Linked DNA regions of Mus musculus. The protein of the gene in region 1 purifies or fractionates together with the protein of each later gene. This does not show direct contact. Links are inferred from orthologs where the notes say so. Each region holds a gene or a part of one and is shown on either strand. Other genes may lie near its edges. The genes, in order: Nphp1 and Nphp4.

The links.
Region 2: the proteins of Nphp1 (region 1) and Nphp4 purify together in Homo sapiens (co-immunoprecipitation; 6 studies listed by BioGRID and IntAct, with this or other methods). This does not show direct contact. The link is inferred for Mus musculus from reciprocal best matches to the Homo sapiens genes NPHP1 and NPHP4.

The regions. Positions count from the first base shown.
Region 1 is NC_000068.7:127,778,573-127,782,585, reverse strand, and holds part of Nphp1 (nephrocystin-1), read left to right. Parts: intron 1-2,449; coding exon 2,450-2,523; intron 2,524-3,421; coding exon 3,422-3,482; intron 3,483-4,013. UniProt on the Homo sapiens protein: Together with BCAR1 it may play a role in the control of epithelial cell polarity. Involved in the organization of apical junctions in kidney cells together with NPHP4 and RPGRIP1L/NPHP8. Does not seem to be strictly required for ciliogenesis.
Region 2 is NC_000070.6:152,476,529-152,480,537, reverse strand, and holds the start of Nphp4 (nephrocystin-4), read right to left. Parts: upstream 2,801-4,009; 5' UTR 2,619-2,800; intron 2,576-2,618; exon of another isoform or gene 2,099-2,575; intron 2,082-2,098; exon of another isoform or gene 1-2,081. UniProt on the Homo sapiens protein: Involved in the organization of apical junctions; the function is proposed to implicate a NPHP1-4-8 module. Does not seem to be strictly required for ciliogenesis. Required for building functional cilia.

The DNA.
Region 1 (4,013 bases):
CCACAGGGCCATGGGAGGTTCTCAGAGTTTTGGGCTGATCTAGCAGTTCTCTCAGCCATAGAAAGTCTCCCAAGCCTAGAAACTTGACCAAGCAGGTCTCAAGAGACAGAAGAAAGCTCCAGTGAGCTCCCAGACCTAACTAGGTGCCTCCGAAATAGGTTGAGGTGATGACCTTGGCCCAGGATTTTTCTATGTTGCATGCATGTTCTGGTCTAATGCAGCATGGCTTCCCACCTAGGTTATACTGTGTCAGGGTGAGACAGAACAGTGAGAGAAAGGAGAGAGAGAAAGGAGAGAGAAGAGAAGTGGGGAGGGGGGAGGAGGGGAGAGGGAGAGAAGAGAAGAGAAGAGAAGAGAAGAGAAGAGAAGAGAAGAGAAGAGAAGAGAAGAGAAGAGAGAGTGTTGTGTCAGGGTCAGAGAGTCTTAGTCAGGGTTTCTATTCCTGCACAAACATCATGACCAAGAAGCAGTTGGGGAGGAAAGGGTTTATTCAGCTTACACTTCCATACTGCTGTTCATCACCAAGGAAGTCAGGACTGGAACTCAAGCAGGTCAGGAAGCAGGAGCTGATGCAGAGGCCATGGAGGGATGTTCTTTACTGGCTTGCTTCCCCTGGCTTGCTCAGCCTGCTCTCTTATAGAACCAAGACTACCAGCCCAGGGATGGCATCACCCACAATGGGCTCTCCCTTCTTGATCACTAATTAAGAAAATGCCTTTCAGCTAGATCTCATGGAGTCATTTCCTCAAATGAAGCTCCTTTCTCTGTGATAACTCCAGTTTGTGTCAAGTTGACACACAAAACCAGCCAGTACAGCAGGGAAACTTATCATTTATTGTTTTCAGGATTTTTTTGATCTGGAGACAGATTGGCTCAGGAGCTCTCTTTTTTATTTCTTAATTATCCTTTCCCTTTCCTTCCAGATCCTCACATGTGCTACTGCCACTCCCTCCTCCAGCCCAGCCCCACTCTCTTTCCTTGCCTCTTATTCTTTAATCATTGTTGTTGGTGTGTGTGTTTTCCTAAATATATAAATACAGCCTGCTCCTGCTCCGTCTGTATAACGTTACTCTCACGTATGTTTTCAGGGCTGACCATTTGCTTGGTTAACCATTTGGTGTGCTCTTCCCTGGGGAAGGCTATTTCCCCTGCTCTCAGCCTTCCTTAGTTGTCCACATTTCTCTGTTTAGGCCAGTCTCTAAGCTCTATCTCTTTCACACTAGCATGTCTATTGGTGACTCCAGGTTGTTCAAGTCTTGTTTGGGCAGCTGTATTAGTGAGACTCTTATCAGTTTAGCTTCTCTCAAATTTCTAGGATACATAATCTCACAGCAAGCTTCCTGTTCCTTGGCTCTTACAATCTTTCCATCCTCTTTTCCACAGAGATGCCTGAGTCTTAGGTGCAGTTTTGTTGTAAATGTATCATCTGGGACTGGGCTCCACAACTCTGCCACTTTGATCTGTTGTGGTTTCCTGTAATTGTCCATTGTAAAGAAAGTCTCCTTGATGAGGCGTGAGGAGCCCTTTAATGCCATATCTGGAAAGGTAATGGTGATACTATTAGCTAGTTTTGCCAGTGTCCATATCTGAAGATATTCATGTTGGCATCTGTGGACCAAGGAATCGTCTTTCACTTGGGCCTTGGATGGATGGCTCTGCCCTGGGGGTGAATTTTAATAGCATTTTTGTGGACACCAAACTGCAAGAGTGAAGAGGAAGCTGGTGAGAGTTGACCTCTCCTCTCCCTCACACTGCCTTTTCCGCACTCTCTATAGAGAAGCCATAGAATGTCTGCCTCTAAGGGAGCTTAACAGAGGTAAGGAGAGTGCCCATAAAACACTAGTCAAAGGAAAGTCCTGGCACATCTGTAGTGAAGAATAAGCCAAGCCACACAGGATGAAATCCCTCAGAAGCATGGGGCACAGGAGAGCTTACACAGTCGTGCCAGCCAGCTCCCTTCAGTCCCCGTGAGTGGGAAAAACTCACTTGTAGTGGAAAAAATGAGCTGGTTTTATCTCAGGAGAATTGGAGTAAGGATTTATTAGGAAGGGAGTAAAGTCATTTGTGGGGCAGTTTCCTACATCTTGGTAAGGTTCGGGGTTATGAAGAGAATCCGTCTGTTAAAGTACAGTAAACGTGCGCCTCAGGGTTGTACAGATGCACCTGGGACCTTAACAGAGTGCTCTAGCTTGTGAAGCCAATGGTGTATGATTTGAGGGAATACACTTACTGATGGTTTTTGTGGGGAAAAAGACCTGGATAGATAAACAGGCATTATAAGATGCTAATGGTAGGATCCAGGTGTAGTATTTACTGTAAAATTCCACTTTATTGTATGCTCATGTTCAAAACTGTTTATTATATATTGTGGGAAAATTAGTAAAGTTCTATTTTCTCAAGGCAACATGGCAGTTTATACAGTGTTTTAAACTGTCTCCGTCTGTTGTAGGTTGATAGTTTGGTGACTGAAAGCCAACTAACAGGTGCTCTGGAACCGAGTAAAAGGAGAGAGATTTACCAAAGGTAAGTATGCGGTCCGCCCGCCCGCCCATCCAGGGCTTGTTCAGCGGGTGCTATTTAAATGTTGTACAGCAAGTTTCCCCCGCCCCCTCTTGCTTGCTCACTCTCTCACTCTCACCCTCTCCATCTTCATCTTACTCTTTTCCTTTCCCCCAAAATGAAATAGTAATGGAGAGTAATGTGGAAGGATCAGTGAGTAAATGTCTCCATAATGTGTTTAAAACACCACTTTCTACCCAGTCCAATCGGAAGGAGAGCGAGAGCAGAGCCCTGCAGGGGACGGGGACAGGGACGGAGACAGGGACAGGGACGGACAGGAGCCTGCTCTCAGTTTGTTCTCTGTGCTAAGACTCGTGCCTGTACTCTGCAAACTTTGTCTTCATCTTCACAATAACACTGTGAGATGCCTGCTGACATAAACGAGACAATCAAATTAGACATTAAAGCGGGAAGACGACACAAATGTTTTAGGGCAGCTGAGAAATCTGAGTTCTCTGAAGGGAGAGCGGGCGCTTAGCTGCAGTCTGTGGTGATGAGGCTAGAAGTTCCCTGTAGATGTAGCACAGATCTAGAAGAAAGCACACTGCACCGGACAGTTGTGGACTTGCTGTTTTCATGACAGCAACTGTAAACCCTGCTCGGGGTCAACCTCCCTGGCTGAGGCAGAATCACCCTAGCGTCTTGACCAGCAGAGCCCAGATTTGAAGACCTGGTCACAAATCTCTAAAAGCCATTTGTCCCTGCTCAGGATAGTCACTTTTCAGCTGTCTTCATGTGACCAACTGTTCTCTAGGTGAACAATTAGCCTTACCACTCAAGAAACTGTGGATGATTTGATAAAAAGTAGTGCCTAGTTCTGACAATAGAGAACTGACCTATACTTTATCTTTTCAAAATTTAGATGTATCCAGTTAAAACAGGCAGTAGATGAAAATAAAAACACCCTTCAAAAATTAAACAAAGTAAGTATGATGAATCACCAAAATCTCCATTGACACAAATGCTTTTCGTGGGGATGATTTTCAGCCGCCAAGAGCCTGGGTTTGCATCAGGGGTGATGTCCAGCCACAGCCGGCTGTGGATTGCTGTTTCAATTTGCTATGATAAACGCCATGACGAAAAGCAACTTCAAGGAGGAAAGTTACTTCGCTTACAGAACACAGTCATCACCAAGGAAAGCCAGGCAGGAGCTCAAGGCAGAAGCCTAGAGACCAAAACTGAAGCAAACCCCACAAGAGCTGCTGCTCATCGTCAGCTCTCAGGCTCACATCCAGCTGCCTGCCTTCTCCACAGGCCCACCTGCCTAGGGCTGGGCCTCTGAGATAATTAACAGTCACGAAAATGTCCCACAGGCATGCCAACAGGCCAGTCTGATGGAAGCAGTTCTTCTGTGGAGATTCCCATTGCCTGGTGTGTCAAGTGGACAGCCAGAATCAGCCACCGCCCTTGCCCGATAGCTTTATGATGGAGCTTTACCGGAGAGCAGAGCAGCT
Region 2 (4,009 bases), on another chromosome or scaffold:
CTCACTGCTCTCCAGACGAAATGGGCACAGACTCGTCCAGAACCTGGTACCTGAGACCATGGTAAGCATTACTGGTGAGGAGGGCCCTCCAGACACAAGCCCTCACACAGCCCCTGGCCCTCCTCAGATCAACTTCCTCACCCCACAAGCCTTGAAAAGCACTCATGCACCAGCATGCCCTCCAGGGTCTGCCTGACCCTCGCTGACTCTACTTACTGCCTGTCAGGTTCATACAGGAGACCTGAGGACCACCCTCCCCTCCCCACCAGCTCCTCCCCCACCCCACACTCGCGCCCTCTATAGAAACAGTCAATGCACCCCTGGGAGACTCTGAACTCCCTGAGTCAGCATTAGTCCTTGGCGAGACTCAGTCCGCAACAGAAAGAATTAAGACCACTCTGGCAGAAAGGATAGTCTAAAGAGATACTTTGTAACCCTAAAGAAGTAAAATTTCCCCAGGAATCCCAGGCAGCGGGGAGAGACAGAGGAGGAACTTGCCTCTGGAAAGAGAACAGACACCGTGCCTTTTCAGGCCATCTTGGTGGAGAGAGGAGAGCAGAGACAAGGATGGTTGAGTGATGGACTGGACCATGCCCTGGCCAGGACTGCTTAGTTTACATCCTCTCTGACCTGTTTATGCCTAAGAGGGACCCGTTTATCTTCCTCCTCCCAATATGGCCACACTGAATAAATCTTTCTCCACTTTTCATGACTATCTGTCTCTTTAACCAGTTTACTGAAGACGTAAGTGTAAGAGATCAGTATCGGCTCGGGACCCCAGGACCACGTCCTCAGCACAAAGGAGATGTATTTGCCTCAGCTGAACAGGGAGTGGGGGAACAAGACACAAAGACAGGAGATGGAGGATGAGGGAGAAGGGGAAGGGAACAAGAGAGAGGGAAGAGGGGTATTTGTCCCCAAGGACAAAGGACTGCCTCTGGATAGAGAGAAGACAGACATGGCCCAGAGGAAAAATGGCGGTTTATAAAGGAAAAATGGGAAACTCTGTGTTAGGATGAGGTGTTCAATTTTAATTTTAATTGGGTGTATTCATCAGGTGAGCCAAAGGGGGCTTTTAATTACTGAAGTTCAAATACTTTGAAAGCTGAACCTTGGTGGTCAGCCTCGGGAAGAAGCGGGCAAGTAAGGGAATGGCCCTTGGGGGCTAGCTTTAGGAAAGCAATCTAACAGTTTTTAGCAAGGCAGAGGGATGAGGCAGCGTCAGTACCTCCCACCTTACATACGTGGAGACTGGCTCAGACAGGGGAGTTCACAGCTGATACTGACTAGCCTACACCCGTGCCACAGTCCTCCTCCCACTCAGGAAGCCAGGGGATGTCTAGAAGAGGGCAGTGAGCGAGTCCTGCTGGAGATGCCCAACGATGAGGCCAATTCTGTCTCAGCTTCTATGCAGATCCTCACCTCCCCTGCCTGCTTCCAATTGGCCAGACTAGAGCCTTGATGGAGTCTTAGATTCTTCGTTTCTACAGGCCTACTCAGTAAAGGTTTGCCAACACCTGATGTATTCCAGAGGCAAAATGTCATCGCCAACAACAACACTAATTGGTGTGGTGTGGGGGGAGGGTGCATCGCACAGTATGGATCATAACCAAGACACATTTGGTAGTGGGGAAGGGGAGCGACAGGTCAGATCCACACGGAAGGACGGTCAGATGACCCAGAGAGGCTGAAATTCCACAAATTGTGGTGCCAAGCTCAGTGAAGCCTCGTCCCCAGAAATGAAGACCTGAGATTTACCCAATCTAGGGGTGGGGTTATGATGGAGAGCTGACCTGAGAGTCTGATTAAGGGATGCCCTCATTCAACCCTCTGCTATGGAACTAAAGACATGGTCTTTACCAAAGTGGACAGTCTCGCAGATGCCTGGATACAAACACCAGAGCGAGATAGAGCTAGGGCAGTTTGGAACACAAGGCAGAATTACGGCGCGTGGGCACTGTATGGCTGAGCTGCAATGAGACCAGGATTGGGACAGAGAAAACTTGCCCATTCCCTAAACCCACAAAGCCAACTTCAATGCAAACTTCCACGTGAGCCGCGAGAGCATCTCCCCCTAACAAGGCAGGACTAGACATACTGAGAATCCGGACAGCAGTGTGGGTTGGAATTCCAAGCAGTGGAGAAGGCCAACCCTGCGCCCCAGTGGCTGGACATGGACTGAGCCAGGGGCCTCACAGTGCATCGAGGGTCGCAGGGATCTGAGCGAGTTGCATGGCCTAAGGCTGGGATAGAGGCGGGCACACCAGACGGTGGGCATCTTCAAGGCTCTGGCGAGCGTACAGTATCCATTTCGACCCCGGACCGCAGCGCGCACCGGCTCAGAAGGCAGAGAACTAACTGAAGAAGACCCAGCAGCCCAACATCAGCTGGCAACCGGGATGCACCAATGGCGATGCGAGGGGGAGAAGATGCAACCCACGCAAGTCAGGCCCGGTCCTGTGCCCCGTGCGGTGCCTTGCAAACCCCAGGTTGTCCGTAAGAATCAATATGCAGCCCCACCCAGGACCCTGAGGCCTCTTCGAGGCTCTGCTGCCACCCGCGACTCCAACACACGCTGACTTCCCCCGCACTTGGTTCAGTCCTTGCTGGCGCGTTACCTAGGAGACGGGCACCGGATCCACGCTACCGAACACGTCCCGCACCGTGGATCCAGCGATCGGGCTGCCGGTGCCCAGCGGAACCCGAGGAGTCGTGGGTCCAGTGCTGACCGAGGGGGTCACCCAATCCACCGCCACCCACGCGTGGAGCCCGGGCCTGAGGGATACCGCTCACTCAGCACAGAACCCGCCCCACGTCACTTTTGCGTCAAGGCCGCGCGGCCAATGAGAACCCGAGTCCAAGGATTCTGACTCTGCGCGCGCCCGCCAATCCACGCATCGGCGGGAGCTGCATGATTTGCATGGACTGCCTTGGCCATTGCCAATGAGACTGTGACTGGCGTGAAGCATAGCCAATAATAGGCTGCTAGGGGCGTGGCCGAGGGAGTCCCACGAGGTAAAGATGCTGCGGGCGGAACCTGCCGGAGCGAGCGGGATTCGGGGGTGCTAAAGTCGCAAGGGCAGGGCAGGAAGGAAGATCCGGAACGGGGCGTGGGATCCGGAGCTGGAGGCCCCCAGGTGAGTGCAGCCGGGAGACCCCGGCGGGCACCTGCGAGGCTGCGCTGTCGCGGCCACCGCGGTCCCCTTCCAATCTCCTCTTCCCTGGCCCCTCATCCCTGCCCCCGCTGTCGTTCTCACCTCCTCTCCAACCTCCTCATCTCCTTCTCCACAGTCTCCCTGCCCCCACCCCACCCTCTCTGCTTCCCTGTCATTCTAACCCCACCTTTCGGTCGACATCCCGGACCCCTACCCCAAACTTCAATCCCTGGCTCTCTACCCCTTCCAGCCCTGCATCCTCGCCTCGCCCTTGCCTCCCTGCTTCCCATCCTCTCTCAGCCTCTAAGCGCCCCTTAGTAGCTGTCTTCTTTCATCTCCCTCCTTGTTGCTCCTCCAGACGCATCCTTCGTCCTTGCTACCTGCCCTGTGTCCCTCTCGCCTTGACCCAGCTTCCCACCCATTCTGCTCTCGGGCCCCTTCCATGCCTGCCACCACTACCGCACCGCACCGCAGTCTATTTTGCGGTGCTCCCCGGCACCTTGACACCCGTTGCAGCTGTACCTGGTTCCCCCCCCGCTGTCCCTGTCTCTTCACCTCTACCCTCATCCTCAGCTTCTCCCCCTGTGCCCAGGCCCTGGCACTAAGCACTTCCCCACTTCCCTACCTGCTGCTGCTTCTGCTGCAGGATGCAGAGCGCGCTCCGCTGCTGCACTGCTGCCTGCTGCAGTATCTGCAGCAAGATGTACCTGCCCACCTGCCCTCCCTCCTGACTGACGTACCCTGCTTGCTTCTCCTGGCATTTGTCCTGGGGTCTCCCGCAGCATGCCTGGGGCACCCTGGGGTGCTCCAAGTGGGAAGCCTTCCAGCACCCCTTGCTGCCTGCCTACGGGGCT